7 linked regions of the Daphnia pulex genome follow. The protein of the gene in region 1 purifies or fractionates together with the protein of each later gene. This does not show direct contact. Links are inferred from orthologs where the notes say so. Each region holds a gene or a part of one and is shown in the gene's direction. Other genes may lie near its edges. The genes, in order: U2 small nuclear ribonucleoprotein A'-like, pre-mRNA-processing factor 19-like, small nuclear ribonucleoprotein F, splicing factor 3B subunit 3-like, small nuclear ribonucleoprotein Sm D2, probable ATP-dependent RNA helicase DDX46 and splicing factor 3A subunit 3-like.

What was found.
Region 2: the proteins of U2 small nuclear ribonucleoprotein A'-like (region 1) and pre-mRNA-processing factor 19-like fractionate together in Homo sapiens (co-fractionation; 3 studies listed by BioGRID). This does not show direct contact. The link is inferred for Daphnia pulex from reciprocal best matches to the Homo sapiens genes SNRPA1 and PRPF19.
Region 3: the proteins of U2 small nuclear ribonucleoprotein A'-like (region 1) and small nuclear ribonucleoprotein F purify together in Homo sapiens (affinity purification with mass spectrometry; 3 studies listed by BioGRID and IntAct, counting the BioPlex papers as one, with this or other methods). This does not show direct contact. The link is inferred for Daphnia pulex from reciprocal best matches to the Homo sapiens genes SNRPA1 and SNRPF.
Region 4: the proteins of U2 small nuclear ribonucleoprotein A'-like (region 1) and splicing factor 3B subunit 3-like purify together in Homo sapiens (affinity purification with mass spectrometry; 5 studies listed by BioGRID and IntAct, counting the BioPlex papers as one, with this or other methods). This does not show direct contact. The link is inferred for Daphnia pulex from reciprocal best matches to the Homo sapiens genes SNRPA1 and SF3B3.
Region 5: the proteins of U2 small nuclear ribonucleoprotein A'-like (region 1) and small nuclear ribonucleoprotein Sm D2 purify together in Homo sapiens (affinity purification with mass spectrometry; 5 studies listed by BioGRID and IntAct, counting the BioPlex papers as one, with this or other methods). This does not show direct contact. The link is inferred for Daphnia pulex from reciprocal best matches to the Homo sapiens genes SNRPA1 and SNRPD2.
Region 6: the proteins of U2 small nuclear ribonucleoprotein A'-like (region 1) and probable ATP-dependent RNA helicase DDX46 purify together in Homo sapiens (affinity purification with mass spectrometry; 3 studies listed by BioGRID and IntAct, counting the BioPlex papers as one, with this or other methods). This does not show direct contact. The link is inferred for Daphnia pulex from reciprocal best matches to the Homo sapiens genes SNRPA1 and DDX46.
Region 7: the proteins of U2 small nuclear ribonucleoprotein A'-like (region 1) and splicing factor 3A subunit 3-like purify together in Homo sapiens (affinity purification with mass spectrometry; 6 studies listed by BioGRID and IntAct, counting the BioPlex papers as one, with this or other methods). This does not show direct contact. The link is inferred for Daphnia pulex from reciprocal best matches to the Homo sapiens genes SNRPA1 and SF3A3.

Annotation. Positions count from the first base shown.
Region 1 is NC_060021.1:10,325,758-10,329,019, reverse strand, and holds U2 small nuclear ribonucleoprotein A'-like, read left to right. Parts: upstream 1-1,270; 5' UTR 1,271-1,413; coding exon 1,414-1,495; intron 1,496-1,632; coding exon 1,633-1,673; intron 1,674-1,732; coding exon 1,733-1,839; intron 1,840-1,903; coding exon 1,904-2,132; intron 2,133-2,195; coding exon 2,196-2,310; intron 2,311-2,372; coding exon 2,373-2,525; intron 2,526-2,588; coding exon 2,589-2,632; 3' UTR 2,633-2,762; downstream 2,763-3,262. Other genes in the region: lariat debranching enzyme B-like, read right to left, coding at 1-130, 202-302, 360-651, 721-917. UniProt on the Homo sapiens protein: Involved in pre-mRNA splicing as component of the spliceosome. Associated with sn-RNP U2, where it contributes to the binding of stem loop IV of U2 snRNA.
Region 2 is NC_060022.1:3,393,987-3,398,195, forward strand, and holds pre-mRNA-processing factor 19-like, read left to right. Parts: upstream 1-1,463; 5' UTR 1,464-1,576; coding exon 1,577-1,595; intron 1,596-1,690; coding exon 1,691-1,840; intron 1,841-1,902; coding exon 1,903-2,044; intron 2,045-2,104; coding exon 2,105-2,246; intron 2,247-2,310; coding exon 2,311-2,496; intron 2,497-2,552; coding exon 2,553-2,738; intron 2,739-2,817; coding exon 2,818-3,154; intron 3,155-3,221; coding exon 3,222-3,571; 3' UTR 3,572-3,709; downstream 3,710-4,209. Other genes in the region: heterogeneous nuclear ribonucleoprotein 27C-like, read right to left, coding at 353-554, 758-965, 1,098-1,156. UniProt on the Homo sapiens protein: Ubiquitin-protein ligase which is a core component of several complexes mainly involved pre-mRNA splicing and DNA repair. Required for pre-mRNA splicing as component of the spliceosome.
Region 3 is NC_060019.1:9,593,819-9,596,393, forward strand, and holds small nuclear ribonucleoprotein F, read left to right. Parts: upstream 1-1,224; 5' UTR 1,225-1,365; coding exon 1,366-1,371; intron 1,372-1,450; coding exon 1,451-1,579; intron 1,580-1,698; coding exon 1,699-1,830; 3' UTR 1,831-1,839; exon of another isoform or gene 1,840-1,881; intron 1,882-1,893; 3' UTR 1,894-2,075; downstream 2,076-2,575. Other genes in the region: phospholipid-transporting ATPase VD-like, read right to left, coding at 1-172. UniProt on the Homo sapiens protein: Plays a role in pre-mRNA splicing as a core component of the spliceosomal U1, U2, U4 and U5 small nuclear ribonucleoproteins (snRNPs), the building blocks of the spliceosome.
Region 4 is NC_060019.1:9,348,549-9,352,688, forward strand, and holds the start of splicing factor 3B subunit 3-like, read left to right. Parts: upstream 1-1,340; 5' UTR 1,341-1,495; intron 1,496-1,821; 5' UTR 1,822-1,877; coding exon 1,878-2,103; intron 2,104-2,168; coding exon 2,169-2,339; intron 2,340-2,526; coding exon 2,527-2,803; intron 2,804-2,995; coding exon 2,996-3,146; intron 3,147-3,357; coding exon 3,358-3,599; intron 3,600-3,766; coding exon 3,767-3,945; intron 3,946-4,004; coding exon 4,005-4,140. UniProt on the Homo sapiens protein: Component of the 17S U2 SnRNP complex of the spliceosome, a large ribonucleoprotein complex that removes introns from transcribed pre-mRNAs.
Region 5 is NC_060018.1:305,245-307,981, forward strand, and holds small nuclear ribonucleoprotein Sm D2, read left to right. Parts: upstream 1-1,213; 5' UTR 1,214-1,384; intron 1,385-1,453; exon of another isoform or gene 1,454-1,485; 5' UTR 1,486-1,601; coding exon 1,602-1,606; intron 1,607-1,748; coding exon 1,749-2,004; intron 2,005-2,073; coding exon 2,074-2,181; 3' UTR 2,182-2,237; downstream 2,238-2,737. Other genes in the region: cofilin/actin-depolymerizing factor homolog, read right to left, coding at 3-5; proteasome subunit alpha type-6-like, read right to left, coding at 2,295-2,352, 2,415-2,625, 2,696-2,737. UniProt on the Homo sapiens protein: Plays a role in pre-mRNA splicing as a core component of the spliceosomal U1, U2, U4 and U5 small nuclear ribonucleoproteins (snRNPs), the building blocks of the spliceosome.
Region 6 is NC_060028.1:6,108,852-6,112,928, forward strand, and holds the start of probable ATP-dependent RNA helicase DDX46, read left to right. Parts: upstream 1-1,277; 5' UTR 1,278-1,456; coding exon 1,457-1,476; intron 1,477-1,628; coding exon 1,629-1,769; intron 1,770-1,849; coding exon 1,850-2,030; intron 2,031-2,100; coding exon 2,101-2,212; intron 2,213-2,288; coding exon 2,289-2,461; intron 2,462-2,580; coding exon 2,581-2,919; intron 2,920-2,983; coding exon 2,984-3,143; intron 3,144-3,208; coding exon 3,209-3,325; intron 3,326-3,415; coding exon 3,416-3,616; intron 3,617-3,676; coding exon 3,677-3,759; intron 3,760-3,817; coding exon 3,818-4,015; intron 4,016-4,075; coding exon 4,076-4,077. UniProt on the Homo sapiens protein: Component of the 17S U2 SnRNP complex of the spliceosome, a large ribonucleoprotein complex that removes introns from transcribed pre-mRNAs.
Region 7 is NC_060028.1:1,227,858-1,232,062, forward strand, and holds splicing factor 3A subunit 3-like, read left to right. Parts: upstream 1-1,461; 5' UTR 1,462-1,574; coding exon 1,575-1,718; intron 1,719-1,783; coding exon 1,784-1,942; intron 1,943-2,002; coding exon 2,003-2,075; intron 2,076-2,133; coding exon 2,134-2,225; intron 2,226-2,289; coding exon 2,290-2,511; intron 2,512-2,574; coding exon 2,575-2,885; intron 2,886-2,946; coding exon 2,947-3,055; intron 3,056-3,116; coding exon 3,117-3,191; intron 3,192-3,259; coding exon 3,260-3,461; intron 3,462-3,533; coding exon 3,534-3,667; 3' UTR 3,668-3,705; downstream 3,706-4,205. Other genes in the region: moesin/ezrin/radixin homolog 1-like, read right to left, coding at 53-202, 778-819. UniProt on the Homo sapiens protein: Component of the 17S U2 SnRNP complex of the spliceosome, a large ribonucleoprotein complex that removes introns from transcribed pre-mRNAs.

The DNA of each region.
Region 1 (3,262 bases):
TTTTTCATTATGTTGGATTGTAGCAGCAAACCTACAATGAAGGTGGGCAGCAAACCAATGTTTAGGCTTCAATTCGTGAAGTAATGTTTCTCCAGCTTGACTTCCCAATACATTTTGGGCTATCTCATCACTGGAAGGGGAAAGAAAGAAATGTGTAAATTGAATTGTGTTTTGGAACAATTAGGTAACACTATTTCAAACCGAAAGAATGGTTTCCAATGCAGAAGTTCTCTGGTATCTGCATAATTGTAGACACCACGAGGCCAATCATGTGAAATAAAAATATCTATGTCTTCTTTTAACTGAAAATTAAAAGACATTTAAGTTTTTAATCTTTAAAACAATCAAAATGTAATTACCTGTTTCAAGCGAAATACTTCAAGACTACGAACATGATAAGCTGATCTCATAGTGCTGTTTGTGTAGGGAGGTTTTTCAAAATGTCCTTTCAAGTAATCATGTCCTTTAAAGATGCCTGATATTCCCGCTATTCTGATGCCACCAAACTTGACTACACCAGCATAGCCAAGATAATATATATTTGGAGCAACCCAGCCTCCATATGCAAGTTCTTGTAGATAGTTTGATGCTTCATGATTGCCTCCAATGAAAATAGTTAAAATTGGTGCTTTCAATTCACCATTATAATACCTGATATTGAAAAAAACAGTAACAATTACAATAAACTCTTATTTGTCTAAAACAATTATAAATAAATACTTGTAGAATGTACAGATATGACGGAATTTGTCAGGTACTGCCATGCATTGTAAGTCACTTTCGTTTCGAACAGCTTGAAAATCTCCACAACAGATGAGCAAATCAACTTTGACATTTCTTTGCCTCGCCAAATTCTCGACAGACCGGTAAATTTGATCAAGTTCACCATGAGCGCACCCTTCAACAGCAATAATCATGTTTTATACTGTCTTTAACTTGATATTTTAAGATAAATGTCAAATGCTGTTTCAAAGTTGATAACTTGCTTTCAAGTTACAACACAAACTCAATATTTTGAAGTTGTTTACAGTTTTACTGGAAGCCGAATCGTTCGTGGCTATTGTCGTCTGCTTAAAACCTAGCGGCAAAAACACAGCCATTTTCATATATTTTCTAACGTTTATAATTTTTTTTAATTTTGTTGACAAATTTAAATACTTTAGTTTAGAAAAGTATTTATATTTCAAGATAAAAAGCTACAGATGCACAAAACCTTTGATAAAACTTTAGTTTGAAAAGTTAATTTCCTGTTTGGAAATGTATTCGGAAATGAGTTGCAACATCGCACATGGCGTCACTTAGATATCCCTAGATTTGTCAACTACAAACGTGCAAAAACATTTTGTTCAAGTTTTAATTGCATCTTTTCCCAAATTCAATTACGTGTTTAAGGTTTAAAAAGCCAAAAAGAAAATGGTGAAGTTGACGGCTGAGGTCATTCACTTGAGCCACCAGTACACGAATGCCATCAAAGAAAGAGAACTAGATTTAAGAGGTATGTAACCGGCGTTCAGCTTCAATCTCATTCAGTCAGTTACTAAAGTTCAAAAGTTTTTTGTGTTGGCTTAAAAAAAGTGATGTAATTGTAAAAATATTTCGTGAAAATACAGCTATTTTTTGTCATCATTTTAGGTTACAAGATTCCTGTAATTGAAAACCTAGGAGCAACTTTAGTAAGTAAATTTGTAGTGTAATCATGCTGAACAGTTACTGGAGTGTTTTCTTTTTTCAGGATCAGTTTGACACAATAGATTTTTCAGATAATGACATAAGGAAATTGGATGGTTTTCCCTTGCTGAGACGAATTAAAAGTCTTCTCCTAAACAACAACAGAATCTTGTAAGTTTTTTGTTGTATTATTCACAAATTTAATTTCATGCAAATGATTCTTTAAAATCTGTAGACGCATTGCTGATGGATTAGGTGAAGTCATTCCAAACCTCGAAACCCTTGTCCTGACAAATAATCATCTGCAAGAGTTGGGCGACCTTGACCCATTAGCAGAATTCTCTAAACTCACCTATTTAAGTCTACTGAGCAATCCTGTTGCAAATAAGCAACATTATCGTTCATATGTGATAAACAAGTTGCCAAGCCTGAGGGTGTTGGATTTTCGTAAAGTAAAACTTAAGGTAATAATGTTCTACCTGACATCAGGAATTTTCCTCCTTATTCATGTAAAACTTGATTTGAAGGAGAGAGAAGCCGCCCGAGACCTATTCAAATCAAAGAAAGGAAAAGTATTGGCGAAAGAAATCGCCCAGAAAAGCAAGTTTCTTTCAGCTGAAGCGGGAAATAAGGCACCGATAGGTAAAAAACACAAATGTTTTGTTTTGTTAGCCTAAGAAATGTTATTAAATTATTTTGTGTAGGTGGTGCATCTGCGGAGGAGGCTCGTGCAATCCGAGAAGCTGTTGCTAATGCCTCCACCTTGGAAGAGGTAGAACGTCTAAACCAAATGTTGAGGGCAGGTGTCGTACCTGGAAAAGCCACCCAAGGCTCCAGCAAAAACGGAAATGCAAATGGTAAATTCACATCCTGTCTTCAACTTCCTTGTTTCGTTTGTTAAAACTTTTGAATTGTTGTAGGTGAAGATATGGAGGAGGAAGAAGATGAACCCATGGAGAAATGACAATGCCATCACGGGTAAAAATTAATTTGTATCAAGCTGTTAATGTGAATGTGGGACTACACTTTGATAATAAAAATATCGCTACCCTAGAGTAAATAAGGTAGCAGAAAGATATTTTTGAAATTACAAATTGCCCGTCTAATTTGTGTCACAGTTAAAAGACCGAGAAGCGATTAAATTTGGTCATTTTAACAAAACTGTGTTGTGAAAAATGCGTAGCGAAACCAATTTTCAGTCATAGAATTAGATATGCTACATAGTGTGTATATCCTACGTGTATTCGGAAGAGGCTCATCTGCCATTTGCGGAATGAGTCATGCATAGAAGGCGGATGTGGGGGTGTGCGTTATTTTCAGCCGGACATGACGGGTTAGGAGTAGCTTGGAAACTGTAGACGATCTAATTTAGAGCGTTTCGTGTCCTTTCATTAACGAGCGTGCCCGTGCGTAAGTTTCGTTGTTTTGAGTAAGATTTTTGGCGCCCACTCCTATTTTTCCCGATACCACATCCGGAATATCATGAGCTAACACCGCCATGATGATGTGATAATGGCAGCAAACTTGGTTTGTAGGTTACAACTTACAGCTATACGAAAATCCAGAACTGATCGTTTTAAGTTCAAAATTCTAC
Region 2 (4,209 bases), on another chromosome or scaffold:
TTATGAAAGAAATATTGACTCAACCCAATGGGTATGCCAATATTTAGTCAGATGTAAAACTTGTAAATCCACCCTCCCAAGTTCCTTAATGGCATATTATCTACTGTAATTCGCGGAAACTCTTTCACATGAGCAGTAGAAGTAAACGTGGATAGGAACTTAGCCATTTGCTTACCTATAGGAATAAAATAACCACACTATTAAAGTTAGCAAAGTTATCAAAAAAGGAATCCATCGAATCTTCGGAATATAACCACTTACACTTGCGTCATACGTTATGTAAGGACGTTCATAGTTTATTTACGCTGTTTTAATTAACTTTAATACCCACTAATTGAGGAAAGTGACTCACCTCGAGATTTTTTCTTTTCTTGGTCGTACATGATAACGACTTCAGAGACCTTTCCGTACTGCGAGAAGAAGTTACGAAGATCTGTTTCTGTCAAGTTTGATGGAAGCCCACCTAAAAATACTTTGTAACCATTTCCTGTACCCATACTCCGGCGAGGAGCGCGTACCATTTCGGCACGTGGATTACAAGGTTTGGGGTCAATCTGCATAAACATAAAAATATGAGATCATAAAAAACAACCAAAAATGTAGAAAGAAATCAAATATATATCTCAAGTTGAGATATAAACTTCAATTCCTTCCACTTCTATGTAGCAATACCGCGAAAGGAGATAAAATTATGTTAAACATTCTATCACCGCTCAGGTAGTGCAAATAAGAGTATGAAGAAAATATAAAAACTTACTGTGCGATTATCGAGTATATGGGGTGTGTTTTGTAGTACTAAACCAACATTGTTAGGATCAGCAAATGTAATGAACCCAAACCCTCTCGATCTACCAGTTTCTGGGTTCTTCATTACCACACAGTCAACAACTTCACCATACTGACTGAAATATCGAAGCAAATTATCGCGCGTCGTTTCCCAGCTTAAACCTCCGATGAACATTTTACTAAAAAAACAAGATTCGTACCAAAAAATAGTAAATGGACGCAAATCATGAAAAGCTTAGTGTACGGCGTCATGGATTTACATTCTCCCATGAACTTCACATGTCATATTATAAATGGAAAAAATTTCTTACCCTTGTTCATTCGAATTATCACCACCTTCTTTTCCAGGGAATTTTTGTTGAGAGGCCATTGTTCAGTTTAAATTGAATATAACAGTAAACGAATCTTTCAAATTTTCGAGGAGTGTTCGCACTGCGCTTGGGTTGGCTTCTTCAGTTGAGAAATGGGGGAAATGGCTGGCCCGGCATTTCAGTCAGTTTGCACCGTTGCCTGGACACTTTTTCTAGTTGAAAACTTGAAACTTAAATTATGAAATTATTACTTATAAAAAACTATGCTGTTTCTTTTACACATTCCAATAAAAAAATTTCTGAGTCTTAAAAAAATGATTGGATTTTGAAAAGAAAAGAAAACTCGCACTGAGGAATGAAGCGCTTTATTGAATAGTGTAGTCTAGCAACTGTTTAGCCCTAAGCGAAGCGAACATATGCATCTTGGCTTGTCGCACATTTTTGTGAAAAGTATATAAAAAAAGGTTACACGCTTCATCATGGCCCTCTGTTGTTCTCGTAATATTACATTTTCATTATAAATATCAATTTAAAACCAATCCATTCTTCTGAGAAATTTGATATTTAATGTCTTATATCTCTTGCTTATATAGTGTCGAACGAAGTTCCCGAACATCCTGTGGTCTCACCGGTGTCAGGATCTGTGTTTGAACGTCGGCTGATTGAAAAGTACATTGCTGATAACGGGGTAGATCCCATCAATGGGAAAGAAATAACTGTAGATCAACTTATTGAAATCAAAAGTAAGAAATTTTTTATCAAAGTTCCACAATGAATTTACATGTAATTGAAATTTTGTTTCTAGCCCCCCCAATTGTTAAGCCTAAAGTGCCATCTGCAACAAGCATTCCCGCCGTGCTTAAGTCTTTACAAGATGAATGGGATGCTGTCATGTTAAATTCCTTTACTTTGAGGCAACAATTACAAACTGCTCGACAAGAATTGAGGTATTGACCAACTTAATTACACATGGAATTATTGTGCAAACATTCTCTTTCTATTTGTAGTCATGCTCTCTACCAACATGATGCTGCTTGTCGTGTTATTGCACGCCTCCACAAGGAAGTGTCTACAGCACGGGAAGCACTTGCAACTCTTAAGCCCCAGACTGGCTATGCTGCTGTATCTACACCATCTGTTGCTGCCTCAGTAAGAAAGCATTATGATATTTATTTGTATGTTATTTATGATAAATTTACTGATTTGATGTAAGGCTGAAGCGGGTGGTGTGGCAGCACAACCGATCGAGGCAGCTGGATTAACTCCGGAAATCATATCACAATTACAAGATAAAGCCACTGTTCTTACTCAAGAACGAAAACGTAGAGGCAAAACCATGCCCGAAGGCTTAGCTACAGCAGAAGCTTTGAAGGGATATAAAACTTTGGCATCTCATCCGGTAATGACATATAATTTTGAAATGTTATCCCATCTTCATGGATTGATTACATATAGGCTTTGCACAGTGCAAGTATGCCCGGAATTTTGACCATGGACGTTCACGCCGCCGATACTTCTCATATTTTGACTGGAGGTAACGATCGATGCGCTACAGTTTTTAACAAGGACACTGAGCAGGTTGTTGCTGTTCTCAAGGGACATACAAAAAAAGTTACCAAGGTGCTTTATCATCCAGAAGAGGTAATTTCATGTTTTCTTTTAATTTTCTCTTGATTTACTTTGTTATATGATACTAATATACCCCTTGAATCTGTTATAGGAAGTCGCGATAACAGCATCTCCTGATGCGACGATTCGTGTTTGGAATATAACCGGCTCCTCACAATCTGCCATCATCCGTGCTCATGATGGCCCTGTCACAGGCTTGTCGCTCCACGCAACCGGAGAATATGTTTTGTCGACGTCACTGGATCAACACTGGGCATTTTCAGACATTCGCGTTGGGCGGTTGTTGACAAAGGTTGCCGACACAGACGGAAATCCGCTTACGACAGCCCAGTTCCATCCAGATGGTCTCATTTTCGGCACTGGAACACAAGATTCACAGATCAAAATTTGGGATTTAAAAGAACAATCTAACGTGGCCAACTTTCCAGGTTTGGCTCTTTTAAAATAATCTTGTGATAAACATTAGCTTTACTATTACCATTTTTACAATTACAGGTCATTCCGGTCCTATTGCGGCTTTGTCATTTTCAGAAAATGGTTACTATTTGGCTACAGCGGCAGAAGACTCTTGCGTCAAATTGTGGGATTTACGGAAATTGAAGAATTTTAAAACAATTCAGCTCGACGAAGGATACGAAGTTAAGGACTTGTGCTTCGATCAAAGCGGCACCTACCTTGCTGTGGCTGGTACCGACGTGCGTGTTTATCTCTGCAAGCAATGGGAAACTCTTAAGACTTTTAACGACCATACAGCATTGGCTATGGGAGTCCGTTTCGGCAACCATGCGCAGTCGATAGCGTCTGTGAGTATGGATCGTACGCTGAAAATTTATGGCATCGAGTGATTCACTGTATTCAATGTTGAGAGGGGATTTTTAAATGAACATTTTTCGTCTTATCCTTTTTTTTGCTGTAAGGTGTGCAAACCGCATCGAACTCTCGCCCTCACAAAAATACACGCGTTTCATTTTTCCCATCAAAAACAATTCTACGAGTGTATATCGATAGTTAAGTTTCCCGCGTTACTATCGATACATTAAATAAAACAAAAAGCTTCGAAATTTTGTCACTAGTGGCGTGGCAGTTCGCTTGGCATTTTCGCTTTCTTGAAGCATATCCCAATGGCGGCTTAGGCAATCGATGCATCGGCCGCTCCTTCGTACAGGGGTTTATGTATTTGGCCTAAAATGCCGGTCGACTCTTGTAAACAAGGAATAGTGAGATCATACTACGTTAATTTCAAATTTCATAGTTCAAATTCTTCATATTGGATTGCTATCCTGAATCAAGATTTTTCCAGATAAAGTACGAGGTAAGTCGCCCAAAAACAGTTCCTTCAACCGTCGCTTCTATCAAGTTGCATTGTTGCATCTTTTGTAATTGGAAGCGTGGTTTTGTTGAATGAATAAAATTTTCTGCCCTTCAAAAAATTTGTCTTCTTTAATTTGACGCATTTTTTTTTCTCCCTAAAGAGTTGACACAA
Region 3 (2,575 bases), on another chromosome or scaffold:
ATGTTGGATTCAATAAGGAAACTCCGATGACACCATGACTTGCAGAGCGAACATGTCCCTTAACTCCACCCGGCCAACCCCTGCTTGGCAGGGGGTTGACAGTTTCAAGCTCTATTGGGGGTTGCATCACATCAGGAAAAATGTAGGTGGTACCCGGTGAATCAAAATCCATACCGTCCCTGAAAATGAGAGAGTACCAAATTCAATTACAATTGAATTTCTTTAACCATTCACGAAACTAACTGTCAAGCTTGTGACTACCAACAACCAACTCAAAATCAACACAAACTTCTGAGCAATGGAAAAGGGAGAGTTATTTACTCACCAAACATCTTATTTCAATATTGCTGAAAAAGACAAGTCAGCTTTTGTTTTCAAAAAATGTCCATGGCAGACTAAAATCAACAAATCGTCTTAACAGTGGAACGATTGTTCGTTTATTTGGTCCAATGATGGAACCCAGTGAGGAAATGGAAGAAAAACAATCGGTTGGAAAGTGACGTCAACTTTAAAAAAAGTGCAAAAAGATGAAAGAATGGTAAGATAGAGTTTAGTGTCAGCAACTGAGCAACTTGTTGTGTGTCCACGTATATAACGGCAAATTCCAGCTGTGCACTGCTTTCAGCCTCTGCTGCATACACCGTACAAGCTTTACTGCCAGATTTTACACTCGGTAACCGATAATAAAGGAAATTGCGCGGAATGGACACCGGAGTGAAATAAGAAACCGGTTTGTTGACCGTTTAAAAGCTTCCAAAATGTAAAATTGAACCTAAAAAGTCTTTCTGTATCAAGACAAACTGTGATAAATTCCTATCTTTTTAATTCCGCGAAACGCAAAACCCTCTTTTATTACTTTTTAGAGAGCGCTAATTCTGGTTGTGAAGCTTCTCTGTTCTTGCCAATTTGTTAAAAAGACTTTTCATATCCACGACCACGAGTCACTTATTAAACAAAATCACTTAATAACGATACATAAAAAAAAATTCTCCTTTGGTTGTAAATTTTTCCAGCTATTATGATTGAAAACAGAATAGGTGACGTGAGTTTTTGGTCCGGAACCAGAGATCCGGGATCGTTGCTCTACGATGGATATCTCATTACATTACATCAAAAAATTATTTAAATAATCCTATTTTATAAGGTAATTTTAGTTCACTAGTTATTAGGTTTAAATATGTAAATTTCTTTCCTACAAAATGGAAAAACTTTCTCAAAATTTGATGTACTTAATAAGACGACTTGGCAACCCTTACTTCTGATCTTTACGTTACAGAACGTGTAAACTGAAATAACGCGGCTTGACTCGCTTGTCAAACATTCAATCAAATTTTGTAAAATCGTTGACTAAAACAAATACAAATCATGGCAGTAAGTTCAAAACCTAAATCTTGTTGGGTGGTCCTTTTTAGCCGACCATTTACTAACATGTTATATTTCATATTTTCAGGCACCCATGCCCATCAATCCCAAACCCTTTCTCAATGCCTTAACCGGCAAACCGATTATGGTAAAACTGAAGTGGGGCCATGAATACAAAGGTTATCTCGTTTCAGTTGATGGATACATGAATCTTCAGGTACTGTAATAATTATACCATGTAGTGCATTTTCATCAGTAAAAAAATGAAAACATGCTGTTGCACGAAACAGTGTGCATATATGAACAATGGCAATAATTCTTCTTATATTATCACAGTTGGCAAACACAGAAGAATATATTGATGGAAGCTGTACTGGAAACTTGGGTGAAGTTCTTGTCAGGTGCAACAATGTACTTTACATACGTGGAGTGGAAGAAGATGATGAGGAGGGAGAAATGAGAGATTGATTGCTGTTTGTATTGAATTTTTCATCCTTTAATACATAATGTCATTTCCTATCTATCTCATAGAAGTTATTGTATAGGAAACCTGGAAACCCTAAAAAATATGTTCTGGTGTATACATTACAAGATTCCCACAGACAACGAAGGACAAACAAGTAAAAAAACAGCTTTTCAGTATCCAAATTCCAAACACAGAACCGTTGTCTACCGTATTGGTGATTTAATGTTAAGTATACTGGAATTTCTTACGTTCCGGCGATTTTTTCCATTTAGTCGGAAAATAAAGGCTTTGTCTAAATGGAAAATGGTTAAGCTACCTTATGAATGAAGTTAGTAGGCAGCCCGCAGTCCCGCATGCTCGTAAAACTCAAGTCACATTTCTTTTCCACTTACACCAACTTGTTCGTAAATATATTTTGTAAGGTATAAATCAAAAAGGCAAACAAATCCGGAAACACCTTTTCCGATTGGCTCACGCTGGTACCAGCTGATGTCATAAGAATACCTAATTGCTTATGAATATTAATTGTTCAATACGTTTCAATTGGCCTGCATGTAACACGGCTGTTAACACTATAGGACGGTAAGCATGCGCAAGTTATCACTGTCGTTTGAACGTTAGGGGAGTTATAGGCTGTTGAACTCCGAGATGAATTACTACGGTTTGAAACAAATAATAAACATTGTACAAATGTACGTTCCTAACTAGACAACGAAGATTAAAACGTTACTGTCAGGATCACATTTA
Region 4 (4,140 bases), on another chromosome or scaffold:
GAAAACTATAATCTCATGCTGTTCCCGACGACGACGAAAGTTGGCCCAAAACTACCGACTGCTGATATCGCGTATACAACAACAACAAGTCGACGATGTTAAATTCCAAACGTCGAAGAATTTCGCTGCGGCTATCTTTTGGAAGATGCTGCAATAAAGGCTGTTCCAAAGAATGCAAGGACAACATCAAATTCTTCGTTTTTTCTAGTTTCGTTTTTTTTCAAACCTCTAAACTTGTTCTTAATAGGAAACATCAAAAGTCAAGAGTTGATTTCCGACTGCAAGCCGTTCCACATTCCATCACTGGCGACAGAGGACGAGTTAATCGGTAAAGTTCGGGAACTCGATTGTTTCAGTCAATATGAATTGAATGACTCGAAATGAATTCAACGGTACATTATGAATTGAAAAAAAAAGATAAGTGCTTCAACACCCTTATTCGTTATTCCTTACCGCACCGCAAATAAAAATTTTTGAATAAGAAATTTTAAAAGATAGACAAGTTCGGGATGCTGAGTTGCACAACCGCAAAATTAGGATCGTGCGCCAACGAGTTTTTGTAACGTTGTGGGGATAGTAGAAAGCGGGTTTTTTATTATTTAAGCATAGAATTACTTATCTAATCTTAGAAATGTTCAGGATTATCGTTGTTTAGAACATTCTGCTTTTTATAGAGTAATTTTAAATGTATAATTCAGCTTAGTTTACCCATTAAAATTAAAGAAAGTCCAAGCCTGGGATGCTGTTTAGTCTTTTCTTGTGTTTTTTGACAGATCTGCTGACAAGTGACAAGCTCAAACACACAAGAAAAGACTAAACAGCATCCCAGGCTTGGACTTTCTTTAATTTGAATGGGTAAACTAAGCTGAATTATACATTTAAAATTACTCTATAAAAAGCAGAATGTTCTAAACAACGATAATCCTGAACATTTCTAAGATTAGATAAGTAATTCTATGCTTAAATAATAAAAAACCCGCTTTCTACTATCCCCACAACGTTACAAAAACTCGTTGGCGCACGATCCTAATTTTGCGGTTGTGCAACTCAGCATCCCGAACTTGTCTATTCAAAGCGTGGCTGCATGGTGGTTCTAGAGAGAAACTCGCGCGCATAGCAAGGGATCGGAATATGAACACGTCTTTTGAATTACTTTATGAGTAATAAAAACAGCTGTGAATAAATCATTCTTGATTATCACCACTGAAATTTTTTATTAATTTCACAATTTTATTGTATAATGCATTATGAAATCGTTCTATAAATAATAATAATAATTTAAAAAATCTTGTGATAAAGAAAGCGCAAATGCATTGAAAATGCTGTGTTTAGGGATAGACCAAGTAGAGAGTCGATGTCAGATGTTCAAAAATATTGCCTATCACACAATGCACGAGAAGTCGAACCCTAAACTCGAGCGCGACGCCGGAGCCAAGAGAGATTTCACTCAACCTTTGCTGAATTTTCCATCATGGAAAATCTGTAACATCCACAGGTAAATTCAAGTTTGACTACACATTTTAGTTCCAGATAGTTGAAAAGCAGTTATTTTGATGGTTAAATGTGTGTTTTTGGCGATGTTTAAAATATTGAAGCATGTCAATTTGAAAACCTTGCCGGGTGAGATGCCGGGGCTGTAGTTTCTTTCGCGTACTCGTCTAGCTATTAAAGAAAAGAAAACCCCTTACAACTTTACCGCCTTTCTGTGAATTAAGTTTGGTGGCTATACATGAGGGGGACATTAATTTTCAAATGGTGTGTAACATTGTCATTAAACATGTTGGACAAATGTAAGAATTATATCTGATAACATTTTCGCAGGTGATGCTCATCTAGGCAGTTCAAGTTACACATTGGACACGTCAACTTGAAAGAAAATGTATCTTTACAATCTGACTCTGCAGCGTGCCACTGGCATCATTCAGGCAGTCCAGGGCAACTTCAGTGGCACCAAGCAACAGGAGATTGTCATTGCTCGTGGAAAGGTACTCGAAATTGTGAAGCCGGATCCCAACACTGGCAAAGTACACACACTTCTCAGTCAAGAGGTTTTTGGAATCATCAGGTCAATCATTAGTTTCAGGCTTACTGGAGGAAATAAGGGTGAGTTGTGCAAATATAATTTTTAAAACATACATCCTGCTAACTTTCATTAATTCTGTATTTAGATTACCTTGTGGTCGGATCAGACTCTGGGCGAATTGTCATTCTTGAATACAATGCTGCCAAAAATGTGTTTGATAAGGTGCACCAAGAAACGTACGGCAAAAGCGGTTGTCGTCGGATTGTTCCTGGACAGTACATGGCAATTGATCCCAAAGGCAGAGCTGTTATGATCAGTAAGTTTTGATCCGTTTTTAATTTAAATTCTTGCAAGTGATGAGTTACGTTTTTATGTCTTCTTTCCCCATCTGAGAAAGATAATGCTGATATCTAACGTTTTTACTGAGAATTTTTTAAAATCGAAATCTTGTGGCTTGAGAGTGCGCATTGCTTTAACATTTATGTTTTTTTTTTGCATTGCAGGTGCTATTGAGAAGCAAAAACTGGTCTACATTCTGAACAGGGATGCCCAAGCCCATTTAACCATTTCTTCTCCGCTGGAGGCTCACAAGTCAAACACTCTAGTTTACAACATAGTGGGTGTTGACGTGGGATTTGAAAACCCTGTATTTGCTTGTTTGGAGATGGATTATGAAGAGGCCGATGGTGATCCAACAGGCGAGGCGGCACAGAAGACGCAACAAACGCTTACATTCTACGAACTCGATCTGGGTTTAAACCACGTCGTTAGGAAATATAGGTGCGTAACAAATCTTGGTGATTTTGGTTTTGCCTGGTTGGGTTTCAAAACCCCTTAACTTTACTGCTCTCTTGTCACTTAAAGATTGCAGCTATACATAAGGGGGACATTATCTATCATAGTGTGTAACATTGTTGACTTATGTGTGACAATGTAAGAAATATTTTGATGAACATATCTTTACTTTAATAGTGAGCCGTTGGATGAGCACGCCAATTTCCTCATCACTGTTCCTGGAGGAAACGACGGACCTTCCGGAGTTCTGGTTTGCTCCGAGAACTACATCACATATAAGAATTTGGGTGAACAGCATGACATTCGTTGCCCAATCCCCAGAAGAAGGGTACGTTTGATCATTTCATTATGTTATTTGGCGCGCGGTATCTCCAGCCGTGTTCTATACACGTGCTGGTCGACTAGTGCCTAAACTATACTTGGAGATGTTTGCATCGTTGGATTGTAATGCGCATATTGCATGCTGTCCTGGAACGAACCTCCGATAAGTTATTTATTCCATGTATTGAGGACGGTAGTAATAAGTTTTTTCTCTGTAGAATGACTTGGATGATCCGGAAAGGGGCATGATTTTCGTCTGCTCGGCTTCCCATCGCACCAAGGCCATGTTTTTCTTCCTTGTCCAAACGGAGCAGGGCGATATTTTCAAGATCACCATGGATATGGATGAAGAGGTGGTGAGAGAATTGAAAATCAAGTACTTTGATACCGTTCCAGTTTCGTCCAGCATGTGTGTGTTGAAGACAGGCTTTCTATTCGTCGCATCGGAATTTGGAAATCAGTTAGTTTTCTTAAATTTTTTTTTCTATTTGCTGAAATGATGTGTATTGTCATCCGTGTTTCACCTGAGATAACACTTTGATTATAATTTTTGACTCTGATTTCGGTTACAAAATTTGAAGTAGTTTTATGGGTTTTCAAGTGTATTAATTTTCCTTGTGTTATTAGTTATCTTTACCAGATTGCTCATTTGGGGGATGATGACGATGAACCCGAATTCAGCTCTACTATACCATTGGAGGAAGGAGATACTTTCTTCTTTGCTCCGAGACCTTTGAAGAATCTTGTTCTCGTGGACGAGATGGAGTCTTTATCTCCAGTTCTGGCCTGCCATATTGCTGATCTCGGTAGGTTTGATAATTCCTCCTGTTTTGAAAGGTTTTTAACATTTGTTTTCAATTTACAGCCAATGAGGATACACCCCAGTTGTATGCACTTTGTGGTAGAAGTTCTCGTTCGTCTCTTCGTGTTCTCCGTCATGGATTGGAAGTATCGGAGATGGCTGTTTCTGAACTTCCCGGTAACCCCAATGCAGTGTGGAC
Region 5 (2,737 bases), on another chromosome or scaffold:
ACCATTTTGGACTAAGAAAAAAGTCTAGAAAAATTTCACGCAAAGCTCAAAGACGCCTAAACTGAAAGATCAACCCGAATGACTGCGGGATGAGACGGCACTGGGGGGAGTGAGTGGTGCGAGTGAGAGAGAGAGAGAGAAAATGCCCTCGATAAGATTTTACTCGTGGCGCGGCGAAAGAAGAGGGGAAACTCAGAGTAGACTTCTCTACACCGGCCGGGACCTCGCACTGCAAAATGGCGGCTGTTCCCCAAACTTGAGAAAACTTGGCGCTACCCAGTCCACACCCAGAAAAGCGCGTCATCTGGGGGTGGAATACAGCGCCGTCAAACGATGCCTATTTCGAACCATATTACAAACTTCACTAATTTATCACAAATAAAACATATAATGATAGGCGCATCATTTATCATTTTAAAAATAATTTGTATGACTCTTATTCTGTTTGCTGTTATGTAAAATCTCAAATGTCGTTAAATGAATTCGGGTAACCGCCAGGGGTCTCTGCTTGCTTAGCGATTGAAGGATGATGCCGATTGTAGAGAATTTTGTGTGTACTGGTTGCACATTCTCTGATTGGTTGTCCATATCGGGCGCTTGTTAACCCGAAAAAGGGGAGCCCAAACCACAAACCTGGAGAGAGTTACGAAAAGTAACTTTTTCTGTAAAATCCTCTACTCGCAGATTTTTCTGCTTGAGCAAAAAGTTGCCGACTCTAAATGATCATTCCGACTTCCTAATAAATGGTGTGCATCTCGCATGAGTGTTTTAACGAAAAAAAAAAATTATTGGGCCAGTTGCACACTTATTCTTTCATTCAGTTTCTCGGGGAGGATGACCTTTTATGGGCAGACATCGATGACTCACATTTTTACTTCCCCTCCCTCTAATCTGCCCTCCCCTCCCCTATGTATTAAAAATCTGAAACTCTCGGGACCGGTGTCGACAACTTTCTCTGTTTCTATAATTTAGACCAAAAAGTTTCAATTGCCATAGATCGCCTTCGCACAATGAACAGCCGATAACAGCGTGATTCGAAAGTTTTCGCCGTTTCAGGATGACTTATCAACAACGCTGGAAAGCGTTCTCCATTGGGGACCATGAGAAAGAATAGTCTGTGCATACGGGGGGAATATGTCCATATATGGCATTAGACAAGCTATGCTACATAACATAACATCTGTCGGCTGACAATTGTCAACCGCTTCGGTTTTCTCTTGACTCTACTTTCTGAGGTTTGTATTTCCTTTCCTCTCGACTAAAACGAATTCCAGTACAGAGTCCCAGACGTCTGACGTCTGGGATTGTAAATGTTTTTCTTGGCAAATTTCATTCTTTTCTTTTCACAACAATTATTAGAAATTGAAACGTGTCTCTTAAAAATGTAAGTCAACATTAAAAAACAATTTTTGGCAATTAAATCGCAAATAAGACATAAAATAGCATCAACCGTCTAATGCTAATTAATACAATATGACAACGCAGCATGTACGTTTTGTTTACGAAAAACAAGTGAATAACGGTTTGAAAAGTTAAACGAAGCCGGGCTCAAAAATATTCCAAAGAATATTTCTCTATCCGTTTACATCCTTCTATTTATCATGGCGTAAGTAAAGCTTAAGTTCAATTTCAAAATAGAAAATTTTTAAATCTATATTTTCAGCTAGTTACAGTGTTCCGTGTCTGCAGATTTTTCTCTACTTGACAGTTTCGTATGAGCACTAAATAATAAATGTTTCTTTCCATAGGGCTGTTGCAAATAAACCCAAGTCGGAGATGACACCGGAGGAATTGGCCAAACGGGAAGAAGAAGAATTCAACACTGGACCACTTTCAGTTTTGACTCAGAGTGTAAAAAACAACACTCAGGTCTTGATCAACTGCCGTAACAACAAAAAGCTACTGGGACGTGTTAAAGCTTTTGACCGTCACTGCAATATGGTTCTAGAAAATGTCAAGGAAATGTGGACTGAAGTTCCCAGAACAGGGAAAGGAAAGAAGAAGGTAATTTTCACTATTTCTGCATTCATTCATTCATCTATCAACAGTGACAGTTGTATATTTATTTTATAGAGCAAACCAGTCAACAAGGACCGTTTTATCTCCAAAATGTTCCTACGTGGAGATTCTGTAATATTAGTATTAAGAAATCCTTTGGCTGGTACTCCTGGAGCAAAATAATTGTATGTGTTTATCTCTCACTTTTGTATGAAATAAAAAAATCGAACAGCGGAAAATGTGTTTTATTATCTCGTTTTATTCCAATGTTGAAAGAAAAAGTTACAAAATCAAACTTAATCTTTTTCGGCAATTGCAGTCAGATGCTTATCGATGTCAGTTTCCGACAGAATTCTATAACAATCAGATCAGTCACATTAATTTCCTAAACTTAAATATTTTGCGCATTTTCTTACCTAAATCCTGGTTGATCCTTAGAAACAACTCCAATTTCAATATCAGATGGCTTGAAATCAGCAGTTAGGATATGAGACAGAGTTGTAATAGCAAGCTGGATAACTTCATCATGTGTGTAGTTTTGTTTCTTTTTGTATTTCTTCTCAAGATACGACGATGCCTCGGTTTGTTTAACACCCACTGAAGTAGCACGATAACCACAGTAATATCCTTGAAAAAAAAGTAAAACAGCAATAAAGCATACAATTTGAGAACTTTACACCCTATTTTAGATATATACCTGCTGGGTCAGCTTTGTATACAGCAGGCCCCAATTCTTCAT
Region 6 (4,077 bases), on another chromosome or scaffold:
AGTTCAAAGGAATCGCCTTAAGTCATTTGTTTAATAATCGGCAATGAGTTTAAGTCGGTTAAATAAACTTTTCGCGCCATGAAAATTCCAGACAGCCTGTCTGATTTCATTCGTATTTCTTTTTGGGGGGGGAGGGGGGAGACATGGCCAATGGCTAATTACTCCTTTTTCTTTCTTCCCACCTTTCGCTTTGTTCCTTACCCCCCCAAATTCGGCCTATAAACCAAACCCAGTTCCCCGCCATATGGATAGGTGGCTATTTGAAAAAAAATCGCCGTTCGGATTTTTTTGAAGGATACTGTACCTTTCCTATTATATCGTGGTTTTGGCTTCCATTACTCCAAGGACAGAGTAATAGATAATGGTGTACCCACTACCATGTTAACTCCTCCTCTCGGAAATTTTTCCTAGAGCTGCAGCGAACATCACGACTCGATAGTGAAAACTGAGCTTAGGTATCTATGTTTATCCTCTATCACCAACGCCTCTTGCTACCGAGCGAAACCTTCGGCAAAACCATTCCCCATTTCCCACCACACCTGCTGTGGCGCTAATTTTAAGAGCTGGGAAGTGGAAAGCTAGAAACACTTTTAGGGAAAAAGGAAATGGAAGGCCTCCTGTCCTAGTGGCTACACCATTATCTACTACTCTGCCAAGGAGGTCTACAGACAATTATTTCTTTCTTTTCTGGGTTGCAACCATTATACTTCTAACATCGAGTCCACCAGTCAAGGAGGCCGGATTTGGGGGTCTGGGGGGCTTATCATTTTTGGGGAATTGGTGACAAGGCATCGCAGTACATCCCCAAATAAACCATTTTATCGGAATTTTACTGTTTTTTGTTGTTATAGTTTTGAATTCTTCACGAAAAACTATGAGGGCCCACCAGAAATTGTAGCGTTTTTTCGGGTTTTTTACATCAGTTTTCGGGTGAACCAGGCCGTTTAAAAAACGGATTTTTCAGAAGATTTTGCCCCTTTCCACAGACGTCTTGCCCCGTTTTTTATCTAAGCTTTATTGGCAGAGATATAAGGGATTTAAAATCTGGAAAATTTTCCGCCATTTTCTAACGATTTTCGTAATCATCCCACTTCATTTTGCAAGCCATCTACCGGCCGATTTTGAAAACCCTCTGGTGTGTAGGACAAAAATCTGAATAGCCGGGAGAAGAAATTTCCCTTGCATTTTCAAAATCTAGATATTATTTATAAACATGGATATGGAAAAGACAGGACAGGACAAAGTTCATTTTGCAAAAAGCTAGCAGCAGCTAGTAGCCTGAGCAGAGCCCTGAGCTAGCAGTTGGCAATTTCAATTTGTTTGAAGTAAAATTCATTTTAAACATGGCAATGTTGCCTGTATCTGTGTATCAAAATTGACGCACTCATGTGCATTTTGTATTTAACTCATTTCATTGCAAAATTTATTAAGTATTCCGAAATTAAACGTCTTTTCGATGGCTCGTGACGGACACAAGTATAATTGTTATTTTTATTTAACTTATTAATTCATTTATTAAGTAAAATAATATGCAGATTATAATAACGATATAGATTATGTAAATTTTTTGTTTACAGTTTTTCATTGCTTAATATTATTATTTTATTTACATTTCTCATCTACGCTAGGCATAATAAACGATCCAGAAGCCGAAGCAGATCCAGTAGTCCTCGTTCTAAAAAACTTCGAGAACGAGATAGAGATGGGGAACACAGGCAAAGAGACAGGGAACGTGAAAGAGATAGAGATCGGGACAGGGAGCGTGACAAGTAATTAATTTTTCATGTTTACAAAAGATAGTCTGATCCATGTTAAGAAGTAAAAACTACCTTTTTGTAACATTTTCCAGGAGAAGAAGCAGATCAAAAGATAGAGATCATGATAAATCTAAAAGATCAACAACAACTTCAGAACGAAGAATTTCAAAATCCCCTGATAGAAAACCAACTTTAGTCGAAGAAATTAAACCTGTTTTGAAATCTGAATCAGAGCTAAAGGAGGAAGCAGCTGTTGCAGCCATGATTGCCAAAGTAAGTTGTTCTATTTTTTAATATTTTGAAAGGGTGTACATTGTTTGTTTGTCTCTTTTCTTGCATATAGGAAGAGGAGCAGAAAACTTTGGACTTGGAAATGCAGAAACGCCGAGAACGAATAGAAAAATGGCGTTTAGAACGAAAGATGCAGGAAATTGCTCAAGTTAAATCTGATCTAGGTAATAATCTAGAAATAACTTTTTAAAAAAACTGACTGTCTTATATACTTCATAATATTGCCATCCTTTTAAACAGCCAATCAAAGAGCTGGGAAAAAATGGTCACTTGAAGATGATGAAGAAGAGGAAGAGGAAGATGGAAAATTGAAAACTGAATCTGCTAAAGTTGAAGCAATTGAAACGATCAACGAAGAAATTGAAGTTCAAGAAGCAGAGGAAGAAGTTGACCCTTTAGATGCTTTTATGCAGGTACTTCAGAATATCTACATGTGCCGATTTGGTTTTGCCGAATCGACATGGATTCGTACCTTACTGCTTACACTAGTATTTTTAAATCAACATCTATTTAATTTAAAAAAAAAAAATAGGACATTCAAAGTGAAGTTCGAAAGGTTCAGAAACTTGACGTTCAAAAATCAAAAGGATCTGGCGTGATGGTAATGACCGGAGTAGCAAAGAAAGCTGCTAAAAAGAAAGGTGAGCTTGTGGAACAAAATCAGGACGCTTTGGAATATTCCTCAGAAGAAGAGTCAGAAGACTTGGCATCAGCAATGTCCGGACTGGCGAATAGCAACATAAAACAGAAAGAAAAAGTTTTTAAAATTGATCACAACAAAATCAACTATTTTCCTTTCCGGAAGAACTTTTACGTGGAAGTACCCGACATAGCACGTATGACCCAAGAAGAAGTAGATGAATACCGACAGGTGTGTATGACTGATACAATTGCTAGTGCCCCAGGACGTTAAAAAAAAATTGTTTAACATATAGGAACTTGAAGGCATTAAAGTTAAAGGAAAAGGGTGTCCGAGACCTATAAAAGCATGGGCACAATGTGGTGTTAGTAAAAAGGAAATGGAAATTCTAAAAAAATTAGCATATGAAAAACCAACCCCCATTCAAACGCAGACAATCCCTGCAATCATGTCTGGTACACAACAACGAACACTTTTTTGTTGTATAAATTTTAAAAAATACTATTATTAAAATATATAGGCAGGGACATAATAGGTATTGCCAAAACTGGCAGTGGCAAAACACTGGCATTTTTGCTGCCTATGTTTAGGCATATTTTAGACCAGCCTGCATTAGAAGAGACTGATGGGCCAATCGGTACGTAGTGTTTAATATCATCGATGTATTTATTTTATTTTTTTTTATTATTATTATTATTTTACCTTCATAAATATTCCACTGTTTTAGCTATCATAATGTCTCCTACCCGAGAATTGTGCTTACAAATCGGCAAAGAATGTAAAAGATTCACCAAGTCATTGAATTTGCGTGTGGTGACGGTCTACGGAGGAACGGGAATATCAGAGCAAATAGCTGAACTAAAACGTGGCGCTGAAATTATTGTGTGCACACCCGGAAGAATGATTGATATGTTAGCTGCCAACAACGGTAAAATTTACCTATAGATTAACTATTAAAAAAGTGTCTTAATTTTAGTCTTTGAAATAGGACGTGTCACCAATTTGCGGCGTGTGACTTACATAGTTTTGGATGAAGCTGATCGCATGTTCGACATGGGTTTTGAGCCACAAGTAAGCAAGATAGTAATACTTCGTCGGGTGACTAGAAATATTTATTCCTTTTATATAGGTAATGCGAATCATTGATAACACTCGCCCTGATCGACAAACTGTTATGTTTAGTGCTACATTTCCCCGTCAAATGGAGGCCTTGGCTCGTAGAATCCTAAACAAACCTGTTGAAATCACGGTTGGAGGTCGTAGCGTTGTTTGTGCTGACGTCGAACAGCATGTTCTTGTTATGGAAGACGAACAAAAATTTTTGAAAGTTAGCTTTTTTCTTAAATTAACAATGAATTTTTGTTTATAAACTAATTTATTTTGGTAGCT
Region 7 (4,205 bases), on another chromosome or scaffold:
GGCCAGTTGTGCTAAAATTGGCAGCATCTTACGTCACTGTACACAAACTCACCGATTTCGGCATGTTGGATGATCTTGTTTGCTCTTGGGCTGTTTCAAGCTTTTTCTCTCCTCTGACTCTTGTTGGAAGAGTTGAAAGCCGGGCTTTTACTTCTTCTTCTTCTGCAGACTCACGCTCGCGCGAACAATACGCACGGAGAACCTGGAAAGAAAGAAAACAACAGGAAGAAATTAATGTCAGACAGACAGACTGGGGTTGTTGCTGGTGGTGTAGAAGAGATTCAATAGCATATGGTCAACAAAATCTAAAGTACACAGATGGTCAGCATGTGGGCACATAGCTAGAGTGATGGGATTCTATATGTATATGTGAGTTGTCGAAAGGCCAGAGTGACTTCCCAACACATCCTGTCCATTTGGCAGGGTGCCGTCACAGTTTAGCGAATGCATCAGGGTTGATCGAAAACCAAGACATTCCTTTTGAAATGTCAAGAGGAGAAAAAATAAATTACGGTTGAATGGAAAGAATACAAGGAAGGAATGGTGATGTCATGGCTGGCCCGTACATTATTTCCAAACCCAGAGAGATGAGCATTCATTCAGACACCTGTATTTCAACATGAGCCTTGAGTGTCATTGATAGGGAAAGGATGAAAATAAGGGAGGGGGGAATGCTTAGGGCAAACACTCGAGTCAAGAGGCCGAATCGTTTTTCGATTTTTCACGATTCCCAATGGCGAACACACCAAACACAACTCAAGAAACACACACACACACCACGCCTATTGTTTGAACGACGGCCACCTGATAAACAAACATCAAGTTCTTTTCGGTTTGGATGTGTGGATATACACTAAAAAATGTTAATCAGATTAAATGTAAAAGAATAAAACAGAAATAAGTACTGTTGCGTATACGTGAAAACCACTCTCTCGGGTGACAGCCACTTATAACGCACTGAATCGGCGGCGGCTCTCGACCGTTGTTGGCCCTCAGTATACCTCCCCTCTTCGCTCTTCTGCAATATGGCTACCAATAGCTTAGCTCAGCTTTTTTTTCTTTTTTCTTTTTATTTCGATTTTCAAAGACTTCGCTCCATCCCTCTGGCGACACTAGGAAACATTACCGTCCTGAGTCCTGACAGCAAAAAAATGCTCACATTTTCTTGGAATGCAATGAATGAAATTGGTTTTTAATGATTAGGAATAAATTAAAATTTTTAATTAAGCTAGAAAATTTATTAAGCTGTGTATATTGAGAAGGTAAATGAATCAAAATTTAATTTTAAGGGGTTTACACTTTACAGTCTTGTAAACATGAAATGAGTAACAAATCATCAAATTTAAATTTAGACAATATATTCTTTTATTTTAACGAATTGTACCATTTTAATAATTAAAAACATTATAATTAAAAAAGTGAAAATAGTTTTTGCAAAAAATCGATAGAATACTTTAGTTCTTACAACGGCCACCAGTTTGTTTTCCAAGCCCAAGCATTGTGATTTTTGCTCGTTTATTGCCGGCTTGTTTAAATTTTTTTATTTTATCATACAATTCAATTCATTAAAACCAATGGAGACTTTGCTAGAGCAGCAGAGGAGATATCATGAAGAAAAAGAGCGTATCATCGACTCCATGGTCAAGGAAACAATCTTCAAAAAGACCACTCAAAGGGAGATAATCAACTCGGAACACCGTCAGAAAATTTTGCTTGACGTATGTAAACTTTGGCTCATACAATTGAACAAACAACTCTTAATGTCGTATTTTGATAACTGTAGAGGTATATGGAGAGTACAAGAGTTTTGAAAGAGATCTATGAAGACAAGGACGGACAGCGCAAAGAGGAGGTGGCACTGCTCTCTGGACCAAATGAATTTGTGGAATTTTACAACAGACTAAAACAGATCAAGGAATTTTACAAAAAACATCCAAATGAGGTATAAAACACATTCATTTTCTTTAAGTGTCATTCAATAGCAGTTGGTTTTGTTTCACAGATTGCTGTACCAATGTCCATGGAATTTGATGAGTTTGCCAAACAGAGAGAGAGTGGAGCTGACGAAACAAATAGTAGGTTATATCTGACAGAAAGCACAGTCATATAAAGCTAATGTAATTTGATTTTCAGATTTGGTTGACTTTACCGATGAGGAGGGCTATGGCAAATATTTGGATCTTCATGAAAGCTATGTGAAATACACAAATTTAAAAGGAATTCAGGTCAGTTTATAGATTGAAACAAGAAACAAATCGAAAAAAATTAACACAGTTATATTTCTTACAGAAAATTGACTACATTAGCTACCTTAATATGTTTGACCGTCTCTTTGATATTCCCCGGGAGAAGAAGAACGCTGAATACAGAAACTATCTACAAGCATTGGTGGATTATTTAGTCGATTATGTTGCTCGAGTAAAACCAGTCATGGACCTTGACAACTTGTTTCATGAAATCGAACAAGATTTCGAAAAGGACTTTGTAGCGGGTACATTTCCTGGATGGCCGGTAAGTCTATTTACGACTGTTTCTATTTTCTGTCCAACCTAACTAACGCTGGCAAATTTATAGAAAGAAACAACCGGAAGTGCTTTGGCAAACGCAGGTGCGGCGTTGGATATTTCAGCCTTTTCATCTTGTGAGGAATTGGCATCTCTAGGACTGGATCGTTTGAAATCAGCATTGATAGCTTTGGGTCTCAAGTGCGGTGGAACACTCGAAGACCGTGCCAAAAGACTCTTCAGTACAAAAGGTCTGTCGGTAGATGAAATTGACAAATCTCTCTTCGCCAAAGGCCAGGGTAAAAATCGAGGTGCTACCGAACAAGATAAGGAAGCCGAAAAACAAAAGAAGATTGCCCTTCTGGAGGCTCAAGTTTATAAGTAATTCCATTTAAATTATTGAATGAAATTGAATGAATAATTAATTGTGAATAATTCATAGACTGATTGAGATCTTGTCTGAACCACGGCATGCTACCAAAGAGAACGTGGAACGTAAACAGGCCCGAACAGATGGGGAACGAGAGGAGGAAGAAGAAGACGTTGTCGAGGTATAACTTAATTACTTTGACATATTTCCTTAAACTTTAAATTCTCAACTGCCATTTTCAGGTCCCCGAGGATGAAGATGAAGACGATGACGTCCCTTACAATCCCAAGAATTTACCACTAGGTTGGGATGGAAAGGTATAAATGAACCAACATTAATAATTGTGTAACTTTGTTCTAATCTTATCGATTCATCTCTTATCCAGCCCATTCCATATTGGCTTTACAAATTGCACGGCTTGAACATCAGCTACAATTGCGAGATTTGCGGCAATTACACGTACAAAGGTCCAAAGGCGTTTCAACGTCATTTTGCCGAATGGCGTCACGCTCACGGCATGCGGTGTCTGGGTATTCCCAACACGGCCCACTTTGCTAACGTAACACGAATCGAAGATGCAATTTCACGTAAGCTTTCAGTTTATTTTTGTTTTTCCTGTCCCCTACCGATTAATAATAAAATTCTAATTGAAACTTCAGTTTGGACAAAATTGAGAAGCCAGAAAACGTCAGAACGTTTCGTCGCCGATCACGAGGAAGAGTACGAGGACTCGATGGGCAACGTCATCCCCAAGAAAACGTACGAAGATTTGCGTCGACAGGGTCTCTTGTAAAGAAACATGACTGGAAAAATAAATCTTATAACTTCGTGCGCGGTTATATTTTTATTCCATCACATTTGCACAGAGGAAGCGCAAGCTCCTTGGTTGTTGTCGAGTGTCACTGTAATATTGGTAATCTTAATCTATGTTTCGATTTATCACTTTGTTGTCAACTTGTATTACTGAATCATCTTCCCATCACAAAACTTTGCTCAGATGGAGTTTTTCGTCATTCGTCTCAATTCCCAGCTCATCGACATGTCGAGAAAAAGAATATGGATTAATGCTTATGTGTCACTGATTTCCGTCGATATCCTCATCGATCAGCTACTTTTAGTATACTTGCATTTTAACACACTTAAAGTATATACCACCTTACTATAGGTATGTAATCTTAATCATATTCGAATTTTAAACAGTCATCTTATAACAAATATTTAAAACCTCTGAGCAATCACGATATTGAAAAGGCACCCCAAGCTTTAATCACTTGCTTATAATTGAATTTGTCTTTAATTGATAACATCTGTATTTGAAATATCGAAATGGC